Bombyx mori: one gene and its partner. The protein of the gene in region 2 purifies or fractionates together with the protein of the main gene of each other region. This does not show direct contact. Links are inferred from orthologs where the notes say so. Each region holds a gene or a part of one and is shown on either strand. Other genes may lie near its edges.

Region 1 (3,428 bases), on a different chromosome or scaffold from region 2:
GCTCAACGCCAATACTCACACCTACACATGGCACCTGTATACATAATTATTTAATTATTTTGCAATTCATACTGAGAGCTGTACTAAGAAAAAATGGATGGATTGCGTGAAAGACGATATGGGTAAGAAGGGAGTGAGCGAAGAAATGGTATATGATAGAAGAATATGGAAGGAGAAAACATGTTGCGCCGACCCCAGGTAACTGGGAGAAGGGCAGGAGAATGATGTTGACTGAGAGTCGTCAGTTTCTTGCAACCATTAAAAAATCATTCCAAATACTTTTGATGAGTGGACAAAATAAACAAAACGTAGTAAATTAGATTGCATAGATCTTATGCCACGAAATTACGCCAGCAATGCCAGGGGTAGAGCCAGGCGGCTGCCTACCGCTTAAATATTTATTCGACATTCCAAAATACCTGTTTGTTTTTTGAGTCAAACATGCCGACGAGGTTATCGTATCTTCCGCCGCCAGCGATGGATCCAACCGTTTGTTCCTCATTTCCAATTTTAATAGGTTCTAGAAGGAAATAACAATTCGTGTTAGTTAGGCGTTAAGGGTAATTACAATCAATCTAATTGTCGGTATTATATAATTAATATCGTGCTTCAACGATCAAATTAACATTTTTGCTAAAGCATAATCATTAATGTTACCATTTTAATTGAAGTGTAAATTTCTTATTTCATACGATAAAGGGGCTGTAGTAAACGTGATAATAATTAATGAAGATTTGTTAAAATTCGACAGCACCGGCATTTGTAGAAGCTAAAAATATACGACGACGCGGAGCTCTGCGCAGATATGCCCATAGTTGAAGAACAGGATACATTCAGGGGGGAGGAGTCGCGGGGAGATTTCGATTTGCATAGCGGCAATTTTTTTTTACTACCTAAACTGATGGTCTTGAGAGACCATATCAGCGTCACAGGGCGAGTAAGTGAGCTCACGGAGCTAAAACCTGACGTTAAATAACTCAAAATAGTTTTTTTTTCAAAAACCTAATCGTCCGGAGGCCCGTAAAAGCCGGTGCAATAGCTAAAGATCCTACCGATCGGATATAACGATCTCGACGCGAGGGTTTAGCTTTTATTACAAGATTTTCTTCCTTCATTGCAAAGTCATTCGTGAGCATGTGTTAATTATGTATTTCATTAAAAAATCCCGTCCTAAGGATTTAAACATAGGCGTAGTTGCATTGTTTGATATTAGCACTACAGGCGCCTTAGCCTTTAGCCCACAACAGCTTCAAACTCATGTACCAGTTACCCCACCTTTGTTACAATATGTCTAATTTTTTCAAAATTAGTAAAATAATTCAATTATTATTTCTGAGTTCTGGAGCTAAATGGGCCAAATCACATTTTTCTATGAAATGAGTTTGTATTACTAATTTAATAAAAAAAGGATAATACGCCATTCATTTATCAACTTATCTTTAAAAAGTTATTACATAAAAAGGCCAATGTAATGCAAACTTTCTTAATGTTTAGTTATTGATGGGTTATTGTGGCTTAAGACTAAACGTAATTATTATTGTGCGGCTTTATTAGCACCACCATTACAATTTTAATTCAAAAAACAAGAAAAGTAGTATTTGATTTCAATCAAAACATTTTCATTATGAATTAAACTTACGTGTAAGCACTGCTTCATAGATAACACCAGTGTAATAATCTAATCCTCTGGCAAGACTCAAATCAAACAGAATCTTATCCTTAATGCCAAAGAGTTCACAATACTGTAGCAAAGTTTTGATTGCTTCTACACCTTCTAATGCAGCCTTTACTTTAGATAATTTCTCATCTTTCAATAGTTTCTCTACCAGTTCCGTGCTACCGTTTAAGCGTACATACTCTCCAATTCTGTCTGCTGCATCAGGTGACACACCTTTTTCATTAATCATTTCGGTTCTTACTTCCTCCCATGGTGACTAAAATGAATAAATTGACATTAATACCCAAAATTGCATGCACTTTTTTAAGGTTTATTGTTTAGGTGCAAGTGAGTGAATGAGCTTACAACTCACCTGACTTAGTCTACAGAATATTATCACTACATTCAAACTTGAGACTGTCTCAACATATCAATTACATTCACTTTTGGATTATATTTATTATTATTTTTTAGCCTGAGGGCCTACAATCTGTAAATCCTTATTGACTTACAATTATTTTAGTTATAGCAGACTGATTTTAAAATAATGTTATGCGGGTAAGAGTAACGCCATCTGTCATCAAATAGCAGAAACAAATATCTAACGAACTAGTAATATCGAGAACACTGGGGAAGTGCAACGCCATTTTTTATCAAATAGCCAAAACACTTATCAAAACGAGTAGTTCTATCGGGAATATTCTTGATAAATGTAGTCTTGTCATGTTGACTATAAAACTGTTGCAGAAATGACATTAAAGCAGTTAGTAGCCCTAGCGCTTTACAATAAGTTTTGTTTTGTTTTATATGAATCTAGATTTATTGTACTATGCATGATATACAGGTATGTTTTATTTATAATTTGTATCTTTTAATGCTTTACCTTATCTAGTTTATCAACTGTGGAGCATGTGGTCCTAAACTTATCTGCGGGAACTCCACAAGCTTCAAACATTCCATCAAGTAATCTTCTGTGGTTCACTTTGAGGATATATTGTCCTATGTCAAGAGCCTCTAGGATCTCTGTCACTACCTTCAAGCATTCTGCATCAGGTACCATAGGATCATATATACCAGCTATGTCAAAGTCCTAAAAAATAAACGTAAATTGTATTGTTGATAAAGTATTCTGGTAAAATATTTTAGTAGTCGAAAATCATTGTCCACAACCTTAACGAACTGATTAATTTTCTGGCTTCTTGGGAAAATCGGAATAAAAATTTCAACTTTAAGACAACAGACAACTTTTTTGTCAAGTTGCAAAGTACCATACATATTTTAAGATCCAAAAACCACCACACCACGGAATTAAATTAAAGAAAAAAGTATTTTTTAAAACCTAATTATATGTATTTGCAATCATTTAATATATTTTGTACACACAGCTGTTAGAAGAAACACAACAATAAGGATACAGAGTACAAGGGCACTACTTTATTATTATTATGCAATTGGTTTTCAAAAAACTCATAAATTACACTGTTTTATTTCTTTTTTTCCAAGTAAGAAAAATAATCCGTGCTCAAGGATGAAAATATATTTTAAAATCTTTTTTTTTTGTAATTTTAAATTGTGTTCATTGCTTTCTTTTTTTATTTAAAATAAATTGAAATTATTCAAACTATCACTTTTTTAATTTGTAATTTGAACAAGCATGAATGAGTTATCTATGACCATAGTTAAATAAATCCAAATCAAATTTTATTTTATACTTACGCATTGATAAAATTCCCTGTATCTTCCTCTAGTCATGGCAGGATTGTCTCTTCTG
Region 2 (4,829 bases):
GGTTAAACTAGTAACACAGTATACGGTATGTAGCGGCTTAGCTCCGCCCCTGGCATTATTGAAGTCCATGGACGACGGTATCATCAAGTGAGCCGTATGCTCATCTTCCTGTAAGGAAAACAAAAATAACAAAATATCCATCAAAAGATCAAACAAAATATTGTCCGCTAGAACTTTCAAAGTTTTCTATAATTTGCATGTCGATGGCTACTTGACAAATTTTAATGTGCTTAGGTCGTCAACATGAAATTTCAAAAAATTGTAAAAATCTAATAGGTGTTTTTTGTTGAGAGGTAGAGCGTAAGGCATAGTCTGCTGAACGGCATCACGCTTTAACGTTTTTTAGGATTGAAGTATAACTGGCGATAAGCTGGCCTGCAGGCCTTTCCGGTTTCTCCAGGACAGGTGGGCGACCACGGGTTCAGTCAGGAAGGGTGCGGTTTGCTAGCAACGCCTCCGAAGGAGACCTAACAACTCAAGAGTAGCTGCTTCGCGAATGAATCTGCTACCGCATCGGAATCGCAACCGCGAGAAAGATATGGTTCCCGATTTCTTTCTTGACTTCATTAGCAGTAGTGGGGGGTAACGCGTCTGAAAGTGCCAGGAAATCTCTGCGCTTGACCTTCTTGTCCACTAACTTAGTGTTTTCGGGGTTCGTGGTTCGAACACTGGTTGACTTGCTCGTATAGTGCTTCGGCCAGTAGCTCAGCCTTGTCATCGTGATCGTAAGCAGGGGGTTACCCTGAGGTGGATACGAAGGGGAGCATAGTTGTCTTGGTTCCTGATTTGAGACTCCTAGCTAGACGCCAATACGCTTAGTGAGAGGGCGCGGTCCTTCTAAATAATTTTCCCACCTTGTGCTACGGGCTTCGTTTAGGTGAGATTTGGCGTCCCACTGCAAACGATTCATCCAAAACCCGTTCAATTCAATGGGATAAAGATCGTAAGGCCGAATTGATGCATTCCTAACTTTTAGGAGTTTTCTGAGCTTGGGGACAGTCTAATGCGGTAAACAGTAGGTATGTCGTCGTATGTGTTTTAAGAAAAATGAAGAAAGAAGAAATGAATTTCATTGAAATTAAATTGTATTAAGTTGAGTTTTAATGAAATAGAATGAAACGATATTGTATCATACGAAATTAAAAATGTCCCAATTAAATGTTGGGAATTCATTGCGACTTCAGTGAGATTTTGGAAATACCAATTTAATACACTGCGTTTGTTAATTTTTTTCATACCTTCACATATTAACAGTTGCTAAATGGTTAAATTAAACTGAAGAAATACTAAAATAACAAAAATAGAAGAATGGACACAGTTGTTTTGATGTTCTTGTCAAAATCTCCAACACGACTTAGGCAGACAATAGTCAATTTTCATAGCTTTTTTACCCATTGGTCACTGTCCATGCAATTTGCTACATATTACCAAACATTTCAATATATTATGACAAACAAAATACCTTATAGCATACTTATGTGATTTGTGGCAAAGAATACTATGCATTACGGAACCTTAAATAATAAGTGTCTATGACGTAGACTAAATAGGATATCGCGACTGTTTACTGCGACTATCTCAAATATTAAGTGTATTATGCTGCGACTGGTATATAGTCGTATTCGTTAGTTTGTTTCTAGCTTTAATTTTTATTCAGCATGTTTTTATGCGATTTTTTAACCTTGAAGGAATACATTGCCACTCAGTACTCACTCAACAGTGAATTGGGTGGAATTGGTCCCGGCTACATTTAACAGTGTAGTGTTGGAGCGTGAACAATTTATATTTTGTCTTTTAAACCATAAACTATAGTACAATATACTGCGGTGCTTATATGAATAACAGTAAACGAAATTTTCAACTTTCCCCACATAGAAAGTGTAACATTTAACAAAATAATAAGTAATTTGACGCAGAATTTTACAATTTACTTGCTCGTGTTTGATTGTTACAATAAAAAAACACCAAAACAGTAGTCCAACATCATTGTAGAAGTTCTTGTATTGAAACAAACATGGAAAACAAAACTGAATTTGATTATCCGCATACATTTGTACTCCTCGGTGCGTCTGGGGACTTGGCTAGAAAAAAAATTTATCCTACTATCTGGTATTTATATCGTGACAACCTTTTGCCGCATAACACCAAGTTTATTGGTTATGCGCGTACTAAGCAATCTGTTTCCGAAGTAAGAGAAAGGTGTCAAAAGTACATGAAAATACGCCCAGGAGAAGAAGAAAAATTAGAGACATTTTGGAATGCCAATAACTATGTAGCGGGATCTTATGATGGAAGAATAGATTATGAGTTTCTTAACCGAATCATCAGTAATCACGAGAAGGGCCCTATTGCAAACAGAATTTTTTATTTAGCTGTACCTCCAACGGTCTTTGAAGATGTTACTGTAAACATAAAAAATGCCTGTACATCTAGCAAAGGTTTTACTCGTGTTATTATTGAGAAACCTTTTGGACGTGATGATGTCAGCTCTGAGAAATTAAGTAATCACTTAGCTGGACTATTTATCGAAGAACAAATCTACAGAATTGATCATTACCTTGGTAAGGAAATGGTCCAAAACTTGATGACCATAAGATTTGCAAATCAAATATTCAATCCAGCTTGGAATAGAGAAAATATAGCATCTGTTCTTATATCATTTAAAGAACCATTTGGAACTGAAGGTAGAGGAGGGTACTTTGATGATTTTGGCATAATAAGAGATGTCATGCAAAATCATTTACTACAAATACTTTCTTTAGTTGCAATGGAAAAGCCTGTCACTCTAAATCCTAATGATATTAGAGATGAAAAAGTGAAAGTTTTGAGGCATATCCAACCAATAGAATTAAAAGACATTCTAATTGGGCAGTATGTCGGTAATCCTGAAGGTCAAGGTGAAGAAAAATTAGGTTATCTGGATGATCCAACTGTGCCTGGAGACTCCTTAACTCCCACATATGCTCTTGCTACTTTGTGGATCAACAATGCAAGATGGCAAGGTGTCCCCTTTATTCTAAGATGTGGAAAAGCTCTGAATGAAAGAAAAGCAGAAGTTCGTGTTCAGTATAAAGACGTTCCAGGTGATATATTTTCTGGACATGCAAAACGAAATGAACTGGTCATAAGAGTCCAGCCAGGAGAAGCCTTATACTTAAAAATGATGTCTAAATCTCCAGGAATGAAATTTGACTTAGTTGAAACAGAACTAGACCTCACTTATAGTGCACGCTACAAAGAAGCCAGTGTACCTGATGCATATGAAAGGCTCATATTGGATGTGTTCACTGGTACCCAAATGCATTTTGTGCGTAGTGATGAATTAAAAGAAGCATGGCGAGTATTTACACCTATTCTCAAAGATCTCGAAGATAATCACATTAAGCCAGTGCCATATGTTTATGGATCTAGAGGTCCTAAAGAAGCTGATGATAAACTGGCTGGATATGATTTCAAGTATTCTGGGTCTTATAAATGGAAAAAACCTATTCATTGATTTAAAATAAGTCTGTATTGGTTTTCAGGTTGTAGGTAAACTTGGGTCGGTTTTTATTTTAAAGGTGCATAATAAACATATACATATTTAAAATTTGATCAACATTTCATCAATAACTCAATTCTGAAGGGTGAAAAGGAGGATTTAAGTTGACTGTGATTAAAAGACAAAAAGCAACTAATAGAATGCTGTTTAATTACCACATAAATTTTTTTTCACTGGTATGAAATGCTTAGTTTTGTTTCCATACTTAACAATTAAAGAAAACTTTCTGCTACTATTAAAATATATAAGTATACATAATTTCTTAATCTCAGAACTTTTTCTGTATTGTTACTTTAGAACTGAAGTATCAATGTAGATTAAATGATTAAAACTTTTAAGGTCATTTTAAGGTTAATGTGGCTGGTATAGATCTGAATGCATTTAATTACTAATGAAGTCTTCCATTGACAGCACAATAATGAACAATTGTATATTGAGTATCTATGTACATACTTAAAATTTAAAATTGTAAACATTCCACTTATCAATATGTTAGTAAATATGATCAACAAATTTGAATAGGGGACCAATTTATCAAATATGGTTGTGCTTGTGCCTTATTTCTTGAACATAATCATAAAAAAATTATTTCTCGAATGTAATCATAAAAAAATGACAGAGTAATTGAATGAAAGCTGTGATAATCACGTGGTTTATGTAATGAATCACGTTCAATGGTGTATGTATTTATAAATGTTAAAGGTCATATTTTGAATAGATATTATCAGCTTTTTGGTTTCGAACGATTATTGTTGCGTTATACACAACTTAAAAAAATTAAGTTGATTAAGTGTATTGTAAAATTAATTTTCTTATTGTATTTCATGAAATAAAAATGTCTTGTAACAATGATTAGTTATATCATCGTACCTGCTTTCACTAACAGTAGTTAAATGTTAACAAGGAGTACACACCTATGCCTGAATATATGTCATACATTTTCGATCTCAATAACAATCAAGTTTGTATTTACTACTAAACCAAATTTAATACATACTTATCTAACTTACTAACTTTTTTATTTTTTTGCTTTGACGATTTGCAAATCACTAACATACTTACTTTACCACCGATGCCAATAGATTATTAAATAATAGTCATGGCCCAAAGAATAAGGTGGTCAAACAGTAAGGGGTTCAAATCTGGCAGGCCAATATCAACTTTTCTGGACGCGGCAGAAATAGGGTTACTAGATATCTTAGCTAAAACCACACCACATGGTGGTTGATAACCAGTTATATAAGCTATCTACCTAAATGAACAGGAAATTATCTTTTTTTTTTGTCTC

What was found. The genes of interacting proteins can lie anywhere in the genome.
Region 1: the proteins of glucose-6-phosphate 1-dehydrogenase (region 2) and histidine--tRNA ligase, cytoplasmic fractionate together in Homo sapiens (co-fractionation; 3 studies listed by BioGRID). This does not show direct contact. The link is inferred for Bombyx mori from reciprocal best matches to the Homo sapiens genes G6PD and HARS1.

What each region holds. Positions count from the first base shown.
Region 1 is NC_085119.1:11,015,012-11,018,439, reverse strand, and holds part of histidine--tRNA ligase, cytoplasmic, read right to left. Parts: coding exon 3,374-3,428; intron 2,748-3,373; coding exon 2,541-2,747; intron 1,935-2,540; coding exon 1,640-1,934; intron 521-1,639; coding exon 420-520; intron 35-419; coding exon 1-34. UniProt on the Homo sapiens protein: Catalyzes the ATP-dependent ligation of histidine to the 3'-end of its cognate tRNA, via the formation of an aminoacyl-adenylate intermediate (His-AMP). Plays a role in axon guidance.
Region 2 is NC_085110.1:6,613,144-6,617,972, reverse strand, and holds glucose-6-phosphate 1-dehydrogenase, read left to right. Parts: upstream 1-1,585; 5' UTR 1,586-2,014; coding exon 2,015-3,496; 3' UTR 3,497-4,390; downstream 4,391-4,829. UniProt on the Homo sapiens protein: Catalyzes the rate-limiting step of the oxidative pentose-phosphate pathway, which represents a route for the dissimilation of carbohydrates besides glycolysis.